2 linked regions of the Sus scrofa genome follow. Each later gene encodes a partner of the first gene's protein in a complex. Links are inferred from orthologs where the notes say so. Each region holds a gene or a part of one and is shown on either strand. Other genes may lie near its edges.

Evidence for each region.
Region 2: CDK2AP1 (region 1) and MTA2 share a complex: the UniProt entries of both Homo sapiens proteins name them as parts of the nucleosome remodeling and deacetylase (NuRD) repressor complex. The link is inferred for Sus scrofa from reciprocal best matches to the Homo sapiens genes CDK2AP1 and MTA2.

What each region holds. Positions count from the first base shown.
Region 1 is NC_010456.5:29,627,164-29,637,046, forward strand, and holds the start of CDK2AP1 (cyclin-dependent kinase 2-associated protein 1), read left to right. Parts: upstream 1-3,920; 5' UTR 3,921-4,175; coding exon 4,176-4,230; intron 4,231-4,623; exon of another isoform or gene 4,624-4,733; intron 4,734-8,694; coding exon 8,695-8,792; intron 8,793-9,883. UniProt on the Homo sapiens protein: Inhibitor of cyclin-dependent kinase CDK2. Also acts as a component of the histone deacetylase NuRD complex which participates in the remodeling of chromatin.
Region 2 is NC_010444.4:9,132,459-9,142,535, reverse strand, and holds the start of MTA2 (metastasis-associated protein MTA2), read right to left. Parts: upstream 4,719-10,077; 5' UTR 4,131-4,718; coding exon 4,103-4,130; intron 3,955-4,102; exon of another isoform or gene 3,701-3,954; intron 3,375-3,700; coding exon 3,307-3,374; intron 2,896-3,306; coding exon 2,802-2,895; intron 1,180-2,801; coding exon 1,062-1,179; intron 948-1,061; coding exon 884-947; intron 703-883; coding exon 585-702; intron 326-584; coding exon 223-325; intron 34-222; coding exon 1-33. Other genes in the region: EML3 (echinoderm microtubule-associated protein-like 3), read right to left, coding at 5,120-5,323, 5,412-5,542, 5,807-5,905, 6,575-6,662, 6,781-6,878, 6,950-7,038, 7,689-7,756, 8,357-8,488 and 4 more. UniProt on the Homo sapiens protein: May function as a transcriptional coregulator. Acts as a component of the histone deacetylase NuRD complex which participates in the remodeling of chromatin.

The sequences.
Region 1 (9,883 bases):
CTAAAAAGCAAAAAAATAAAAAACAAACCAGAAAACCAAAACCTCCCTAATCTTACAGATGAATCTAAGGCCCAGGGTGGGAGAAAAGAATGGGAGAAATATTTGCAAACTCTAAGTCTGAGACGAGACTAGTATCCAAAGTAAAAAAAATCTTAAAACTTAACATAAAGTTAACTCAAGTTTAAAAATGGTAAAGGATTAGAATAGATGTTTCTCCAAAGAAGATAACAAATGGCCAGTAAGCACATGAAAAGAAGCTCAATATCATCATCCATTAAAGAAATGCAAATCAAAACCATGAGATTCCAGTTCACACTCACTAGGATGCCTAAAATAAAAAAGCCAGATAGGAGTTCCCGTCGTGGCGCAGTGGTTAACGAATCCGACTAGGAACCATGAGGTTGCGGGTTTGGTCCCTGCCCTTGCTCAGTGGGTTAACGATCCGGCGTTGCCGTGAGCTGTGGTGTAGGTTGCAGACCGGGCTTGGATCCCGCGTTGCTGTGGCTGTGGCGTAGGCCGGTGGCTACAGCTCCGATTTGACCCCTAGCCTGGGAACCTCCATATGCCGCGGGAGCGGCCCAAGAAATAGCAACAACAACAACAACAACAACAAAAAGACAAAAGACAAAAAAAAAAAAAAAAGCCAGATAACAAAAGTGTTGGTGAGGATATGGAGAAACTGAAAACCTTACACATTGCTGGTAGAAATGTAAAATGGTACAGTCACTATGCAAAATAGAGTGGCAATTCCTCAAAAAGTCAAACATAGAGTTACTATGTAACCCAACAATTCCACTCCTGGGTATATACCCCAAAGAATTGAAAACATATTCACAAAAATTTGTACACAAATGTTCATAGCAGCTCTATTCATAATAGTAAAAAGTGAAAACAAACCAAATATCCATAAGCTGATGAATGGATAAGCAAAATGTGGTCTATCCATACAGTGGAAATACTCAGCCATGAAAAGGAACAAAGTCTTGATACATGTTGCAATATAAATGGACCTTGAAAGCACTATGCTAAGTGAAAAAGGCTGTACACATATTGTATGATTTAATTCATAGGAAATGTCCAGAATAGGTACATCCATAGGCATGGAAGGTAGACTAGCAGCTGCCTAAAGCTATGGGTAGTGGGGGATGGGGAGTGACTGCTGTTAGGTATAGATTTTCCTTTTCAGATGACAAAAATGTTCTAGAATTAGATAGTGGTGGTGATGATCACAAAACTCACTGAACTGTTGAAGTGTGTGTGTGTGTGTGTGTGTGTGTGTGTGTGTGTGTGTGTGTGTGTGTGTGTGCATATATATATATATATATATATATATATATTTTTTTTTTTTTTTGGTCTTTTCTAGGGCCGCACCTACAGCATATGGAGGTTCCCAGGCTAGAGGTCTAATTGGACCTGTAGCTGCTGGTCTATGCCACAGTCACAGCAACGTGGGTTCCAAGCCACATCTGCAACCTACACCACAGCTCATGGCAATGTCAGATCCTTAACCCACTGAGCAAGGCCGGGGATTGAACCTGCAACTTCATGGTTTCTGGTAGGATTCGTTGACCACTGAACCACAACAGGAACTCCCTGAACTGTATATTTTATTTTATTTTATTTGGCTGCACCAGTGGCATGCAGAAGTTCCTGGGCCAGAGATTGAACTCCCACCATAGCAGTATCAACATCTCGAATCCTTAACCACTTAAAAGGATAAATTTTATACTAAGTAAACTAGATCTCAATTAAAAACAAAAGGAAAAATATTTTTCAATAACGATTAGTGAGGGGGATGGTGGGCAGCATGTTAAAAACACAACATAGAAAGAAAAGAGCCCACAGCATCTGTAGAAGGGACTGAGGCAGGCCACAGAGATCTGGATTCTTGCTGCAAGGAAATGGAGGTTTTGTCAAACAGCTGGCAGGTGATGGAGCCAGAATGAATACCTTATGAGTCCAATTCTTGTAGTTTCTAGCCCTTCACTGGTTCAACAGGAAAATCGCTAGCTATCATGGCTACTGAGCACTTGACCTGTGGCCAGTCTGAATAAGGATGAGCTGTAAGGGTAAAATACAGTTTGGGTTTTGAAGAGTTTAGTATCATAAAAAAGAATGTAAAGTATCTTAATAATTGCTTTATATTCATTATGTATCAAAATCATACCATTTTGGGGTATATTATGTTAAATAAACTATGTTATAATTGAGATTAATTTCACCAGTTCTTACTTTCTAAAATGTGACTACTAAAACTTTTAAATTATTTGCGTGGCCTGCAATACTTTTCTTTTAGACAATGCTACTCTAGAGTACTGGTCCTCTAGAGGCAGGGTAGCAAAAGGGTGATATTAATTTATTCGTGAAAAAAATTTCACTGAGCATTCTTAAAAAAAAACGTGTTTTTTTTTTTTTTTTTTTTGTCTTTGTCTTTTTCGGGCTGTACCCGTAGCATATAGAAATTTTCAGGCTAAGGGGTTGAATCAGAGCTATAGCTGCCAGCCTATGCCATAGCCACAGCAGCTCAGGATCTGAGCCGAGTCTGTGACCTACACTACAGCTCACGGCAATGCTAGATCCTTAACCCACTGAGCAAGGCCAGGGATCGAACCTGCATCCTTATAGATACTAGTCGGGTTTGTTGCCGCTGAGCCATGATGGGAACACCTAAAAAATTTTTTTTTATTATAGTTGATTTACAATGTTCTTGTCAATGTCTGCTGTACAGCAAAGAGCTCAGTCATTCATACATATATACATACATACACACATATATATATATACTTACACACACTTCTCACATTATCTTCCATTATGTTCTATCACAAGCGATTGGATATAGTCCCCGGTGCCTAACAGCAGAATCACTGAACATTCTTGGCTGAACCAGCCTAAAGCTTATCACAAGGGGTGCTGAGAAGGGAGTGTCACCTGTACCTTCATTCCTAAAGGGATGGAGGGAAGGCATGGATGGTGTCCCTTTGCTTTCAGGCAAAAAGGTTGATGCCTTCCTCAGTAGATCCGGATGTATCTGAATGTCTGTGGCTAATCAAAAAAATTCGGCAAAGCATGGCGATTACAAAGGGCAGAAAAGGGTGGGCATCTCTTGTATTTTGACAAGATTTACTATTCAAGCAGAACTCCAAGAAATAATACCTTCAAAAGCTTCATCACCTAATGCAAAATACATTTGGTGATTGTGTTTCAGTCAGATCTGAGAAGTGGGCTGGGGTGGGGGTAGAGGAGAGTCAAAAATTGCAAAAAAATTCTCCAGGAGAGAAGAAACTTTGTCAAGTTTATTCTGTATCTTTAGCACCTGGAACAGTGCACCGCACACAGTAGGCGCTTCTTAAGTATCTGAATGTGTTAAGATGCAAAATTGTGTGAATGTTCGGGTGTATTTTCCAGGGGAGGAGGCTGCTGGCTTTTGTACAGTCTCAAAGGTGTCTAGGCCCCTAAAGGGTTAAAACCACTTAATACCGACAGGGACGTGAAATTTATTTGAAATCAATGTCAAAAATTGGTTGTTCTTACTCTGGGGTGTAGCCAGACCTTGGCGTCTGGAAAGATCTACGCGCTTAAAAATACCACTCGCCACCATTTTCTCCAGGTAATTTTCCATCCCTGCCCCCACAGTCCAGGGGGAAAAAAGTAATTCTGCAATCCTACCTAGCTATTAAAAAAATTAATCGGTAAAAGAACAAATCTTCAGGCGCCGCCTGCGTAGAAGAAGAAAGGGACCCACGCGGGCCTCGGGCGCCGCCGGGACCCCAGCCCCCCAAACTTTGCCAAGTTGCGGGCGCCGAGCGCGCCCGGAGGCGCGGGGCGCGGCAGCGGGCGGAGCCGCCCCCTGACGCCGGGCCGCGGCGCGCCGGGCCGCCCCCTCCCGGCCCGGGCCGGCCCCGCTGGCTCCGCTCAAAGTTTGCGGCCGCCCCTGCGCCCGCGCGCCCGCCCGATGTATGGGTGATATACTGCAGCGGGTGTCAGGGTGAGGGACGGCCATATTTGCCGGTGCGGCCCGAGCCGTCAACAACAAAAAGTGCGCGGGAGCTCGGCGGGCGCACGGACGGGCGCACGGACGCCGGGGCCGCCTCGCCGCCGTCCGGCCTCGCCGCCGCCGTCGCCCTCGCGGGCCTGGCCCCGCTGCGCCCCGGCGCGCCCCGCCGCTCGGGGGGATGTCTTACAAACCGAACTTGACCGCGCACATGCCCGCCGCCTCCCTCAACGCCGGTAAGTGAGTGCGCCCTGCGGGCCGCGTGCGCCGCGCCCCAAGTGCGGCCAAGTTGAGGGCCCGCGCGCCCGGCCCCGGCCCCGGCTCCCGGGGACCCGCGGCGGCCGGGGGTGGCAGGCACCGGGTCCCGGCCCGGGGCAGCGGGGCCGCCGCCGCCGCCGCCATGATTCTGGCGCCCACGCCGCCAAAGTTCGCTGGTGCGCCCTGTGCCGCGCCGGGCCTCGGGCCGGGCCGGGGCCCGGGGCGCTGGCTGCCGCCGCGGTCCCCCCCACGCCGGCGGCTGAGGGCTCGCGGGGAGCGCGGCGAGCGAGGGCGGGGGAGGCTTTCTCGGCTCCGTTTTCCTCCGGCTTTTGGGCGGCTCGGCGAGGGCCCCTGCCGGCGGGAGTCGGGAGCGGCCGGGCCGCGCGGGGAGCGGGGCTCCGGGAGCGGGGCGCGGGCCGCCCTTGGGGAGCGGGGGTCAAGCCCGGGCGGGGGCCGAGACTGCTGCGTGCACGTGAGCAAGGTTAGGCCACGCGCGGCAGCGCTGCGGGGTGGCGAGCGTGCCAAGTGCAGCCCGCCCTGAGGGCCCGGGGCCGCTGGGGTCACCGGCGGTGCAGGGGACATCATCGGTGGCGGCTCGGCCTGGCGCGTGGGAGCGGGGTGCCCAAAATGGGGCTCGCGGCAAGGTCCCCTCAGGCGTGTGCGGCAGAATGAGCGAAGTTGAAGACCCGGGGTTTCGGAGTGCCTGCAGGCGGAGGGTGGGGGCGGCATTTCGGCCTGGGGCCCGCATTTCGGGGCCCCGCATCTTGAGCCCCCAACTCTGGGTTTGGAAGGTCCCCTCCCGCAGAAGCCTAGGGGCCGTCCTCTCCCTTCCTTGGGGCTGGAACTGGACGGTCCCAGGAAACTCCTCCAGAAGTTGTCAGGCAGCTTTAGGCTGTGTCCAGGGTCTCCTCCCAAGGACGAAAGGCACCGGGGGGAGGGGAGGGTAAAATTGTGGGGTTCGGGGGTGATTTGCTCTTTCCCTTCACTATAGCCCTTCTCCTTTGGACTCTTGGTGGGAAACAAACTTCCAAAAAGCTAGGCGCGTGGGGGCGTGGGGGGGTGTGATTGGCGGGGAGGAGACTGGCGTCTCTGGTCCGAAATGCCACGCTGGCAGTTGTCCGAAAGTTTTGAGCCTTGTCTCCAAATGGTTGACTCCATAACTCCAAAAATCCTATAGGGGACCCAGAAAAGCAATGCATGTAAATAAATAAATATTTATTTATTTTTTAACTTCTTAGACACAGATTGGGGAGTGGAAAGGGTTAAGATTCAGGATGTGATTGGGTGGGGGATAGCTAAGTTGGTCAAATGTGGGCTCTAAGCCTCAAGAGCAAACAGCCACTATTTTCTCTTCAAATGTTCTCACCTCTTCTGGGGTCTGCAAACCTTATAAAGACAAGCTTTGCTGCCTGTAGTATTTCTCACTGCCTCCTTCATCTGACTGTGGTAAGGATGGAGGGTCTTGCTGCTGCCTGTACAGGTGGGATATCTCAGGCCTGCCCTGGTACAGCTGAGGCAGGGACCCTAAACTGGGACCTTTGGGGACTGGGGTCACGGTGGCAGAGGCAGCCACTCAGCACCCCTGAAGTCCTGTTCTGGGCTGGCTAGCACCTGTGCACAGATTTTCTTCTTTCTCCTCTGGTGAACTCCAGGAGGAGTGCTGAGGTCCCCAGATCTGTGGCAGGCTGCTCCCCTCCCTGTGGACCCCTTTGGAAAGCCCGATCTCCCCCTGCCATTTGCATCCAAGATGGACTCTCCGCTGCCGCTCCTCCGGCTTCCTTGTCATCATCCCTCACGCCCTCCAGCCCTGCCTCCTGCTCGCGAGTTGCCAAGCCGCGGCCTGGCCGGCAGTGGCAGTGGCTGAGTTAGACAAAGCCCCTGCCTCCCCGCCAGAGAGCCCCCCCAGGCGCCCCAAGTGGCGGGAAGGCCGCCAGCTCCCCAGGCCCAGGCTGCTCTTTGTCTGGCGTGGGGGTGGGGAGCCGCGCCTGGCCCCAGGAGCTGCTGGCCTCTGCCAATCCCTCCCTCAGCTCTGGGCCCTCCCTGGTCCCCCGCACACTGCGCACATTGTCTGCGATGCTCCGAGACGGCCGGCCAGCCGTGCTCACGCCCAGTCTGGTTTTCTCCGTGGCCTTCGGCAGCCGCTGGCCCTCCCTGTATCTGCGGGAAGGAGTGGGCATGAGTGGAACTCAGGGCCCTTCTGCAAACTCTCCCTAGGGCCACAGATACCCTCCCCGCCAACAGCAAGTGAGGCCACTGATTCGGGGTCCCTACCACATCACCCAGGGCAAGTCAAGCCCTGGGCTGTTTCCCATCTCCCCCTCCCTCCACACCCCTAACCAAAACGTGGGGGCTCTCCTTCCTCCCTCTTCCCAGAGCTCCCCTAAGACCTAACCCCAGCATTGCGGAGGAGTAGGAGCTAGAGCCTTTAGACATTCTGTTAGGAACCATTGCCTCAAACTGACGGATAAACTGAGGCCCAGAGAGGGAAGGGCCTTGCCTTAAGTCACACAGCTGAACTGGCTCCTAGTCCAGGCCCTTGCCTGTAGGAGAGAAGGTGGGGTCAGGGAGGCAAGAAATGCAAAACAGCAATAAGAGGAGGAGGACAGGTGTCCAGCTCACCTCCTGCCAGGGAGTTGGAATCTTCTAGATGCCTCAAAGTGCTGAACAGTGCAGTTCACCCCCCACCCCTCGCCCCCAGTCTTGGCATTTAGCATCCTGGCCTTACAGAATGGTGTAATACCTTGTAGTGGCCAGGACTTGAACCTGGGCCTGGGATGGCGAAGCCTGAGCTACCCAGACCGCACTCACCACCCACATCAGAAGATCAGGAAATTGGGGTTTGGTTGATGTGGTGAGGAGACCTGGGGTGTGGGGGACACCCGCCCTGCCACACCTTCTTGTGTTCTGGACACTGCACACTCACAGTTGCCTCAGACAGAGGTCCCACATGTGCTCACGTGCTTGTAGTTCCATACCACAGGTGTTTCAGCATCGCTGCTCTAGAGGTGTGGCAGTGAGGCTCCGAGCAGCACAGCGCTGTGCCCAGTCTGCAGCCTAGAGGTGGCAGAATCCATGTTTCCTGACTGCACATCTTGTGCTTGAGCATAAATCCGGGCCCCAGTGGAAAAATTCCAGGGCAGGCTTGAGATTGGGTATGGGGCTGTCCCCAGCTTCTGGACAGAGGGACAGGTAGCCGCTTCTGCACTGTGTGGCCTGGGGCAGTGCCCACCCTCTCTGGTCTGTGTTGCTCTCTCTCCAGGGAGGGGCTCCAGGGCTCCTTCCAGTTCTATCAGCCTGAGCTCCTGACTTCCTTCCTCCCTGCCCCTCCCCTTGCCCACACCAGATGAGCAGCTGGTCGGTTTGGCCGGCCTGGCACCAGCTGTCCATCCCCGGGGCCAAGTCTGCAGAGCCTGCTGTGTGCGTGAGAGAGGGACCGTTTGGCTCTGGGGGCGGCAGGCAGAGGGGAAGCTGCTCCCCGGCCAGGCGTGGAGGCAGGCGGGCAGCTGCTGAGGAGGGCTAGGTAAATTCTCCATGGTTACCGCTGTTTGTAATTCTGCAGGACATCCTTTACCCGCTAATGGCCACTCGGACGCCATTACGGGTCTGCATGCTTCCAGCTACTGAGCTGGAGCTGGAAAATTCCCTGTTGAGCATCTCCCAACTGCCATCTGGGAGACTCCATTCTGGGCCTGGCCCTGGCCCCACGTGGCCCCTCTGCTGCGGGCCAGTGTCTCCCAGTAGGGTCTGACCCCTCCTCTCTTGGGGTGCAAGCCATCTGGGCATAGACTCAGACTGTCAAGACTCTTGTCCCCTCTTTGGGGAGAGGCGACAGGAGCTCAGAGGTAAGGGACTTGTTTGAGGATATGCAGGCTGGGATGTACTCCAGATTCCTGACTTTGTATCTAGAACACCAGTCCCCTGCTAGGGTTGGGTCTCAGAACCTCTCGACTGTCCCCCATCTTCCTCACGATATAGTCCAGCAGAGGTTAGGGCACAGAGGAAGTATTAGCCCAGGAGCAGGCCAGCCTTAGTGGCAAGTGGGCTCCTGTGGCAGGCTTGTGGCTCTAGGGTATCAGCCTCTGGGGAGCAGGACCCAGGGAAAGGGGACTTGCAAGGGTTAGGCAGGAAACAGCAGCAGATTTCATCTTTGGTACCAATCTAGACTGAATGGATGGGAAGGATTTCTGTGTTTGATTAGCAATGTCTGCTGTGGTGGTTGGCGTATGTGAAGATCAGGAGCCTATTAGCTATATTTTACCATCAATCATCTAGGCTGCTTGTCAGCCATGGCCAAACCAGGAGCAAGAGTAGGGTTCTCTGTCCTTGGAGATAAAAGAGTACTGTTGATGGCTTGAGGCCTGAGCAGGAGGACTGAGAGTCCTCACCTCTGGTACAGTTAGCCAAGGCTACTTGATTATTAACTCCTGTCTCCTTCCCCGTAGCTGGGAGTGTCCACCCGCCCTCCACCAGTATGGCGACATCTTCACAGTACCGCCAGCTGCTGAGTGACTATGGGCCACCATCTCTAGGCTATACCCAGGTACAGCAGGGGGGGTGATGCCCAGGGGGAGGGGCTCTGAGGGCAGCCTGGGCCCTGAGGGGGAGCTGTGGAAGGAGTAGAGATGAAGGAATGGAGCGGTCATCTGAGCCTCCTCAACTCAAGGCTAGGGCTTCAGAACAGAGGGGTGATGGGAGTTCCCTTATAGCTCAGTGGGTGAAGGATCTGATGCTGCCACTGCAGCGGCCTGGGTCACTGCCATGGTGCGGGTTCAATCCCTGGCCTGGGAACTTCCACATGCTGCATGTGGGAGGCTGGAAACTCCAAGAGCCACAGTCCTGTTGGGACCACCAGCCCACATATGTCCCTGGGGGTTTTCATGCTTTGTTCCTAGGGAAGTGAGGTATGGCCTCAACTCTTGCTCTGAGCTTGGATAGAGGCTGGTGTCAGGGGGTGCCCATTCCCACTCATTCCCCACAAGGTTGTGGCCCCGTCAGAGAGGTGGGGGCTCATGTCCTAGTGGAGTCCGGGTGGGTTTCATAGAGAGCTGGGGGCCCCTGAGTTTCACACCTGGTTCCACCAGTTACAGGACCATGACCCCTACTTGGCAACCTTGCCGAGACTTGGTCTTCCCACTGGGTTTGGGGGCCATCAGTGGAGAAAGCCAAGGAAGTGGTGCCCCAAGGGCCCTCGGTGCCTGGGCTGCCAGCTGTGAGGTTCTCCCCTGTAGTGGCTGGAACTCATGTTCCGAGGTCGCCATGGAGGCCAGCCTCTGGGATAAGGTGGCGGCTCTTGGCCATGCCCCGCCAGGCTGTCCTAGCCCCCAAGGGGAAGTGGGCGCGGACCCCTTTGAAGAGGCGGTGGTGGGAGGACGGTGTCAAGTGTGGCCTGGATAGGCCCCACAGTGCCCTGGCTGTGAGGCAGCGGCCAGAGGAGAGGAAGGGCCACGGATTCCGGAGGAGGCTCCTGGAGGATGCTGAGGAACAGGACAAGGAGAGGAGGAAGGATTGGGAAGCCAAGAAACAGGCAGCAGAGGAGGGAGGAGCAGGCGAGGGTCTCCCGGTCAGGACACAGCTGCTCTGATGCAGCTGTGGGGAGGGGGACGGGAGAGGGAGGGTTGGGGTGAGGCCCGA
Region 2 (10,077 bases), on another chromosome or scaffold:
CAATCTAGGGCTCTCGCAAAGGTCCCCACAGCCCTAAGGGAGAGAGCGAGGAGTCAAGAGGGAAAGACGAACGCGAGAGTGGGCTGAGGAACTAGGCCAGATGAGCAAAACAAGGGCACCACCTGGGCCCCAAACAAATCTAGTCCGTCTCTAAGAAAGTGACTCGGAACCATGTCTACAACCCCCTTCCCAGCCCATCTTCCCCATCCACCCACCCCTCACCGGGCCACCACGAGAAACTGATCAATCTGCCGGTCTGTGAGAGGGTTGTCTGGATCCCAGACTTTCATCTCCATCTTCTGCTGGTTCCGATTATCAGATTCTCCTGGGGAGTGAGGAAATGGCATCACCGGGGAGAATAAGAGGTGTCTTGACACTCACAATGACACCTGTTTCCTCCTTGGATCCTATCAGCCACCTCAACTCTCAGACTTCTCTTCCCAATGTGCCCGTTTGCCCCTTTCAGGTTCCTAAGGTCCCGTTCTGTCAGGGACACAGCACAGAGCTGTGCAAAGTGCACCACACAGCGCCAGGGCACACCATTCAGGAACTATGATGGTAGACAACTCTGTTCTGGGGCATACCCTCTGCCAGGCGATCTGGGATCTCAGCTTGGTATTTGCAACCAACTCGGATCTCTCCCTGATCAGCTAGAAGTGTCTTCTGCACAGGGTCAAACACCAGCGAATAAAAAAAGCAGTCCTGGAGAAGGGAAGACAGAAGGTAAGCAGGGCAGCAGTCCTCACAGGCGGGGGCGGTGGGCTATATCCGGAGTCCCTAGGACAGGCAGCCTGTCAACCTGGACCTCACCACAGTCTGACTTCTCCTCTTGCCTTCTGGGGCAATACCCACCCCCCTCCCTCTTCTCCCACCTCTTTCTCACCTCCTTTTCCAGGTACTGGCTCAAGATATCTGTCTCATTCAAGAGGGTCACACTGCATTTCCCCCTTCAGGAGAGAAGTCAGAAAACCCTTGGTGAGCTCATTTCCTCTGCTCAGCATCTCCAACACGCTAGCCCCTCCTCTCCAACTCCTAAATAAGTAGCCCTGACTGTCCTATACCTTATGTGGGTGGCTGGTAGCGATTCAAACTGCCGAGAAAGAAAAAGCTCGCGGTGCTTCAGTTGATGTCGCTGCTGTTCCGACACCCCTGGCTGCTTTGATTCCTCCTCAAACTCCCCTGGGACATGAAGGAGGAAGAGACCAAGTCAGAAACTAATTCATAAAGAAGCCACCATAGAAACCCTAACCCAAGGAAAATATTTCCTATCTTACTTGCTTTTCCCACATTCCCTAGGCACCTGCCTTCCACGACCTTACCACACGAGCTTTCCCTCCCAGCCTTCTCCCAGTTACTGATGCTCCCAAGTCTCCATCATTAATGAATGCTCTTAGGAAAGAGCTACAGAGGGTACAAGGATGCCAGAGGAATACATCCCAAGCCCAGGTGCCAATGCCCAGACACCACTCATACAGCCTATATCTGACCACACCAGGCCCAGCAAGAATATCACACTTGTCTCTTTCATGCTAAACTTGCCTAGGCTCCAGAAATCCAATTAAAAATAAACACAGAAATAAATAAATACACCACACAAGGTGTGTTTACCAGTTCTTTGCAAATTTCAGAAGACTTTGCTCTTAAAGGTCACATGCAACCCTAACTATCCCTTGTTTTCAACCTGGCTAATAATAATTTGTGGGGCTTTCAAGGACAGTACCTCTCAAGCCAGTGCCAACACCTTCCTCCCCAAGGAGCTGTAACTTGCTCTGAAACCTTGGTGGAAAGGGTTAAGTTGGCTGGGTGCCAACCAAACAGGGAGGGAGCAGAAGAGCCACAGGCCCAGGCTCATTGGTGCATTGTTCCCAACCTCAGGGAGAAAGGGGGGGCAGGGGTGTGCAGTAGTAGGCTCCACCCCTCTTCTGAGCACTCCGGAAACCCTGTGCGAAGGCAAGGGGGACCACACCCCCCACACCCTTTCTGATTGGACAAGGCCAAGGTCAGCCCCTGCCAGATGGGACTGGAAACCCCAGAGGGCCGGAGAACTTGGTAGGCTCAGCTCATTAACCCTTTCATGCCCAACACCCAAAGCCGCCAAAAGTAAGCAAAATGATTTAGAAAGGAAGAATAAGAGAAAGGGGAAAGAAAGCCAAAACAGGAAAGGAAAAAAAAAACTAAGGGGAATTGAAAGACATGAATTTAACAAGAAAAAACAAAAGCGTAAAGAGAAAGCGGATAGGGCCAAAAAAAAAAAAAAAAAAAAAAAAACGAAAGATGTAAAATGGAGAAGAGAGGCCAGGATGGGTGAGAAAAAGTTCTTAAAAAAAAACCTTCTGGGCTTCCTATTCTCTCCCATCAATATAGCCTTACCCCCTTGATCACAAAACCCTCTACTTCCCTGTTATGCAAGCTTTTAAGTACAATCTCTTCCTGTTCACCTTGACCTTCGCAGTCACCACCCATTGTCCCAACACAACCAAAACTGTCCCCAAGAGTGTTGCTTCTCCAAATTAGAGCTCTTCTCCATCCCCCTTTTAAACATTACCACCTCTTTTACATACCCCACTCACACAAACACACACACAAATACACACCAGCCAAATTCTCACTTTTCATGTCATGGTTTCTCCACACTGCTTCCAACCCAACGTGTAAAAACAGGCCTCCCTCTGCAGACCAGGCATTTCCCACCCCCAAACTCACACCCCTGCCTTGAGCATGATACCAAGAGAAACACCTGCACGGACATGCCCAGGTTTCAGATCATGGGCAGGGGGAGACGGGGGTACAAAGACACTCACTGGCATTACTATCAGCCAGGCTGTTGAGGCTACCAGAAATGTCCCTTCGCCGGAAAAGGCACACAACCTTTGCCTCCACATTTCCATTTGCCGTCTAAGGAGAGAGAGAAAACAAAACAAAATAAAAAAAAAAAACACTGTGAAAACTAGTCATTTGAAAGTAGAACTGCAGAAAGACAAGACTAACAACATCAAACAGGTTTCTGAAGGATATAAGAAAAACCCAAGAAATTATGAATCAAGACGTTTGCATTTAAGGACAGACTTCCAAATCCCTTTATAGAACAGTCAAGATCCTCTAAGGTGTCAAGAGCCTTTCCTGAATGCATGGGATGAACAAATGAATGAATGAATATGAATGAATACTTAGAACAGGCTTCATGTTCTCCTGCTCTCTTCCTCTTTCCCTCCCTCTCTCATTCACCTGAAGTTAGAGACCAGGGGAGGGACTGGGCGGGGGGGGGGGGGGGGGGGGGGGGAGCCCAGAAGACTCTGCTCCACTCACCTTGTTGAGCTCTTCAATCCTTCTCACCAGGTAAGGATTGCTGGAGGAGTTCTCAAAATAGACGTAATCTGTAGGAGGGGGTGGGGAAGAACCGGGAAGATCAGAGGAGCGGATGGGAGAGCCGAGCACGAGAGTAGGAGGAACGAAAAGGAGGCCTGAGTGGACCCAAAGGAGAAAAGGGTCTAGGCAGAGAAGTCGCTGAAATGTGGAAGTGGAGAGACTAACAGAACGTAAGGGAGGGGTGCCCCACCCGCCACCCCTAACCACCCAAAAGTGAGCCTTAAGGAGGAGCCCAGAAGCAGGGGGTTCCCCAGCAGGCGCCGCAACTCAGCGATGGAGTTGCACCCGGTGTCGGCCAAGCGAACAATTGTTCACTCCAGCGCAGGGCCCCCACCTTTGCGAACCCAGGCGCACAATAACGCCTGGGGAGAGGAAGCCTCCCGGCTGCTCCCCCGCAGATGGCAAAGCGGTCGCCCCGGCCCTTCGCGCCCCCTAGCCTGCCCTGTCAGCTCCTTCGGAACCACTTTCCCAAGCCCACCCCGCGACCCCGGCGGCGCCAGGCGCAGCCCTGCGAGTGCCGTCGGGCCGCCCGAAGTCTCTCCGGCAGTCTCGGTGACCCGCCGCGTCGCGGTCCCCGCGCCCTCGCTCCCCGTGCGACCGGTTCCGGTTCCGGTCCGCGCTCCGGACCACGCCGCCCCAGACGCGACTCCCCGTGCCGCCGGGCGCCAAGCCTCTCCGGTCCCGGCCCCCGACCTCTCTCGCCCCGGGCCCCGCAGCCCCTACGCCCGGTACTTACCCCCCACTCGGTACATGTTGGCCGCCATGGCCGTTCCCGCCGCCGCCTCCGGCCGCACAAAGGGGTCCGGGAGGCTCGCGGGGGCAGGGCTCGAAGCGAAGCCCTGAGCGTGGGGCTGGCGCTTCGCAGAAGTCTCTGTCTGGCTCGCGCAGCCGGCACCTCCGCCACCTCAGCCGTCGCGGTTCATCCCGGCCCGCGCTGTCGCCACCGCCTCTATCGCCTCACGCCCGGGACGCCGAGGCCGTAGCCGGTCCGCTCGGCTTCTTCCGGAACGAGCTCGGCTCCCGCCGGACCGGGCCAGGCTCCAGCTCTCCCGCCCTCGCCGAGCCCCACTAGACGTTGGACTTTGCGGGCCGCCGCGAAGGCTTGCCCTGCCCGCCTCGGGGTTCGCCTCCTTCCGGAACACCTTCGGCGGATCCGGAGAACAAGGCCCAGCGCTCGGGTCCGGTCGGAGAGCGAGACCTCAAAGCTCGGCTACTTCCGGAAGAAGTTCGGCTCCCTCCGGCCAATCGCGTCCCGGCGCTCGGTTATTTCCGTTGCGGCTCGGCCCCGCCTCCGAGGGCGAGAGAGGAGTTGGGCTTAACTCTCTCCTCGCCCGAGTCCCGCGGCGGCGAAAGACTCGTAGCGCCTCCGCACTCCGCGGGGTTATTTGCAAGCGGCTTTGCCTGTTATTTGCATGAAAGGTCTACTCTCCCTCACCCTTTCCGCATTCCCCTTTTCCTTCACCCCACCCCACAGAGCCCCGAGGCGCCCAGCCGCGCCCGACAAAAGGACCGGGAGGCGACTTTGCTTTTGGTTTATTGCCCCTCAGCAGGTAGCGGGAGTCAGGGCCCAGGCTGGGGCTGCCCGGCTCAGCCAGCGGGTCTTTACAGTGTGTGCAGGGGTGCCGTTCGCCCCCTGCAGGGAAATGAGCTTTCGGGAATGTCTCGAAGTCTAGGACTGGGTCGGCCCGGGTCCTGGGAAACTTGGGCGGGGCGGGGCCACGCTGCAGGGCCGGTGGGTCCCGTCGGGCAGCGGTCAGACGTCGAGAGAGGAGGCGGGGGACAGCGAGGGAGTTCGAGAGGGCGTGGCAGGCGCCTGCCCCGCGCTCCCAGCGCCCAGCACTCGCCACTGGAAGATGCTGGCGTCCTTGCCGCCCAGCGAGACGAGGTGCGAGTCGTCGTACGTGAACCGGACGCTGGTCACGTGGCTGCCGTGACCGCCGTACACGAGGCTCGGCGCCTGGGCAGGAGGGAAGGTCGAGCTGCAGCGGCCGTGGAGCCCCAGGGCCCTGACCTGCCGTCCCCGGAGGCCCTGGGAGGCCTCTCACCTTGGCGCGCGCGCACGGGTACTGGAAGAGGTGCACTTTGCAGAAGTCGTCGGCCACAGCCACCACGCGCTCATTGTGGGAACGGCACAGGGAGTTGATGTCGGTTCCATCAGAGCCATCCGGCCACACGCCTAGCACAGCCGTCGGCCTTAGCCCTGCCTCCCCGCCACCACCCACAGCCCAGAGCTGCACCAATTCCAGCGCTCAGTCAGTCCCGCCACCCACCAGCCGCGTTCCAGGCAATCTTTCCCGGTCCCAAGGGCCTGCTGGAGGGGCCCCCCAGGGCTGGATCTGCCCATCCCTCCACACATGCCCAGCATTCCGAGCCCCGGGCAGTCTGCACCTTGTCCCCCGACTCTCGAGGCATAGTTCTGGGGCCCTGCGTCCCTGCTCACCATAGACATGAAAGCCCAGCACGCAGGTGTAGGTGGCCCACTCCCGGTCTCGGCTGTCATAGCGATTCCTCAGCAGCTTACAGCCTCCAGCCACGTCCCCTGGGGAGAGGGAGCCCACCCAGATCAGGTCTCACCCTGCCCTCAGCTGGAAGATGCCATAGAAGGCCAAGTTGGAAATACTTGAGGCACTGGCATGTGATCTGGTCCCCATGGTAGCCCTCAGTTCAGGGCAAAACTCAGCCCACGTGCTTCCTCTTTGGCTGCACCTGTGACATGCAGAAGTTCCTGGGCCATCTATGGAACCCCTGCCACAGCAGCAACCAGAGCCACAGCAGTGACAAGGCTGGATCTTTACCACACTGTTCCAGGGGGAACTTCCCGTGTGCTTCCAGAGTTCTCAGCTGAAGTTCTCCCAATAGTTCCTCCCCAGTTCCTCCTCCCTAGATAAGTCAATCCCTCCACACCTGTCTGGAGAAACTTTTCCAAAACAATCTTTTCTTAGTGCGTTTTTCAACTCCCTCAAGGCCTTTGCGGGTCAAGACATAGTGTAAAACTGTAGGTGTGGGGTTTTTTTGGTCCAAATGACAGAATTTCTCCTATGTGTAAAATTCTGACTCCACTTCAGACCTATCTCCACCCCCTCTCTGACAGCCCCTCCACTTGGAGCTCCCCACATCGCCCTTCATCCCCTCCCAACTGGGAGCCCCCCACACAAATAAAACCCACCCCAAGTACCCTCTCCCTGTGCCCTCCCCTACTGTCACTCACAGTAAAGGATCTCATAGTCCCCAGAATTGGACATGATGAAGTTCCCATCCTTGGACCAGTCAAGATGCGTGATGAAGCTGGAGTGACCCTGGGAGCAAGGGTCAAAAGACTAAAAATGCGGCCAGCAGTTCCCCTCCCCAACCCTCCTGAAGTGTATTAGTTTACCTGCTATGTCACTGCCCCACCCTCCACCCCAGCTTCCTCACCACACAGCGGCCAAAGCGGCTGGACTTGGCACCATCACTGGAAACGCTATAGATGTAGATCATGTTGTCATGGGAACCGATGGCCAGGTACAACCCATCTACAAAGACAGTCACTTAGAGGGGGAAGGGCAAGGGGCGAGTCTAGGTCCGGGGTCGGGGTGGCTCCCACCTGGGCTGTACCGGACCACTGAGAGCTGCTCGTTGCCATCAGTGATGTCAGACACAATCTCCCGAGTCTCTGTGTCCAAAACCAGCCACCTGGAAGCGCGGGGGGGGCGGGGGGCAGAAAGCAGGTGTGAGGATCCCTGTCCTGGGCAGGGTGGTGGTGAGCAAGTCCGCGTGCCCCAGAGGTACCCCCAGAAAAGCTATGATGCAGACAGGGAGGTTGCCATTGCATTTTTTTGGCTGTGCCTGAGGTATGCAGAAATTCCTGGCCCAGGGATTGAACCCATGCCAGAGCAGGAGCCTGAACCACAGCAGTGACAAAGCTGGATCCTTAACCTACTATGCCACCAGGGAACTCCTGCCATTGCATTCTTATGCTGGGAAGTAGCAGGGGGCTAAGGGCAGATCAAAGGCAGCTGGGGGTACAGGGGCCCAACTACAAGGGCTTTGTGGCGTCTCTAAGTTTGTCACTTCCCTGTGTCAGTCCTCACTAGGTCCCTTCCATCCCTGCTGCTTCTCTGCTCCGAGCTGCCACCTCCTCCACTCGCAGGCTTAGAAGGGAGGATGTGGTGACAGTTGCCACAGGGGAGACCCGGGCTACAGGGAAAAGCACTGAGGAGCAGGAAGGTGCAGTTGGGGCTCCTGAGCAGGCACTGATCACACTCCCACACACACACCCCATTCCCAGAAACCCTTCCCATACCTCCTGCTTTCCCCTCCCAGGAGTCCCAGCTCCCTCTCACCTCCCCGTATTCAGTCCCACAGCCACAACTGCACCACTGGGGTGGAAGTCGGCACAGAGACCAGTTTCCTGGGAGAAGGCAGAAAGTGAATTCAGGGAGATGCCTTTCTAGGGAACCAAGGTGGATACCCTGTCATCCTGATAACACTAAAGCCTCCTCGGTGTTCCCGTCGTGGCGCAGTGGTTAACAAATCCGACTAGGAACCATGAGATTGTGGGTTCGATCCCCAACCTCGCACTGTGGGTTAAGGATCTGGTGTTGCCGTGAGATCGCAGACGCGGCTTGGATCCTGCGTTGCTGTGGCTCTGTCGTAGGCTGGCAGCTACAGCTCCGATCAGACTCCTAGCCTGGGAACCTCCATATGCCGCAGGAACAGCCCTAGAAATGGCAAAAAGGAAAAAACACTAAAGCCTCCTCCTCTCAATGAGGAGAGGGACAGGAGGCCTGGGGTGGAGGCAGGGGGAGGTCTAGGGGCTGAGGGAGGGCAGTGCTGAGGGGCCGCTGGAGGCATCTGTACAGAAGAATGAACATTTTAGCTGCCGGTACAGCCACACCAGTACAAACTGGCTGCCTCTGGGAGCAGAAGAGAAGGGGATGTTGGCGAAGGAGGGGTGACCACAGGAGTCATGGTGGGGGTGACAAGGAGGATCCAGGGACACAGAGCCTACCTTGAGATCAAGGCTCCAGGCCAGTGCATGGGCCTCCCCATCCCACAGGCAGAGCTGCCGGTCATGGCCACAGGTGAGGAATCGGTTCTGGAAGGGATGCGTGCAGAGCCCCCAGAGCTCATCCGTGTGACCCTGCAGCAGAGTATGGGCTGTCACCTCTGCGGCTCCCCAAAAGCTCTCCCCTCCCTGCTTCCTGGAGCCCTTGCCCCCGTGCCCCGCCCCCCCGCCAACCTGGATTACAGGGGAGAAGCCCTGAGCCAGATCTCCCCTCAGCAACGCATTCTTCGTGGTCCCCACCAGCAGCTCAGAGCCAGGCCCCTCTGCGATGGCCCGCACGGCCCCAAAGTGTTCCGGAATCTGCAGGGTGGTGGCAGAAAGTTAGAGCGCCACTGACCATTCCTCTTCCCCCTCCTTCCTCTGTCCCCGGCCCAGGCCTCACCTCAGCCTCCTGGAGGGCCACCAACCCGGGCCCCCACTGGACCAGCCGGCGGTCCCGCCCACCACCACTCAGCACGGTCCCGTCCCGCCGGAGACACAGGGCGAAGATGGACCCTTCGTGAGCGTGGGCCTGGGCCACAATCCCGTAGGTCTCTGTTGGCAAAGTCCTGGCTGGGTCACGCTTTTGGGGTGCAGGGACGTGGGGAACAGGAGCAGCCCAGGCCGTCACAATCGAGTAGGAACACCTGGCTGTTGGCTGCCTACTGGATGGTGTCTCTGAGCCTCAGCCCTTCTCCCAGGGCTCAAAGAAGTGAAGTAACTTCCTAAAGGCCAGACAACTAGGGGCAAAACTGGGATTTGAACCCAGCATCTGGCAGACTCCAAAGCCGCAGGCCTTTCCCTCTGCCATGCCGCCCCTACCCTTCCAGACTGGACCCCCACCCCCACCCCCACCCCGAGGGTCCCACTCTCTGATAGAGCGCCATCACCTCTCAAGGTAAAAGGATGGGAAATCCTCTGCTCAGTGTCCACAGACCCCCCTGGGGAACTAGCCTTCCTGGAAGCCACCCCCAACCACCTACCTTTGGCCCCGCCCCTGCCTGGGGTCCTGGAATCTGAGAGGCTCCGCCCCCAGGTGAGAATGTTCCCCTCTGAGTCCCCAGTGAGAATGTCTCCGTCCGGGAGGAACACAAAGCAGGGGATAAACTTGGGTTTCTTGTATTTCTAGGGGTGAGGGGAGCAGAGAGCGGAGGTCAAAGGGCGGGGCAAAGGCTAAAGGTCACAAGACAGTTGGGAGTTGAAGGGCACCAGGGGCTACAGTGCTCAGACCCATACGTCCACTTCCGCTCTGCCCTCCCTCCCCCACCGCCCTGCCCCCATCCACACCTCACCCCAAAGACACCCTGTTTCCTGGTGAGGGTCCCATTCCCAGGAACCCCGGCGCCACCATTCCAGTTCCAGAAGTGGACATGGGATTTCCCGCTGGTGACAATGCAGCTGCTGTCACGAGGGCTGAAGCCAACGGCCAGGACTGAGTCATTTGTACTCTGAAGGGAAGATACTAGATTCAACCACCCCAAGCCCTGCGCACCTTCCTTCTACCCGACTCTTTGCAGAAACCTCAGGACAACCCTTCCTCCAAGGTCCTGGTCTCCTAAGAGCAGGACTCCTAGCCGCTCGTGATTCATCACCCTAAAACTGAACTCATTGTCCCCCATGAGGTCCAGCCTCTCCACTTCACCCCCAGGGGACCCACCAGAAAGGAGGTACCTGGACAGGGAAGT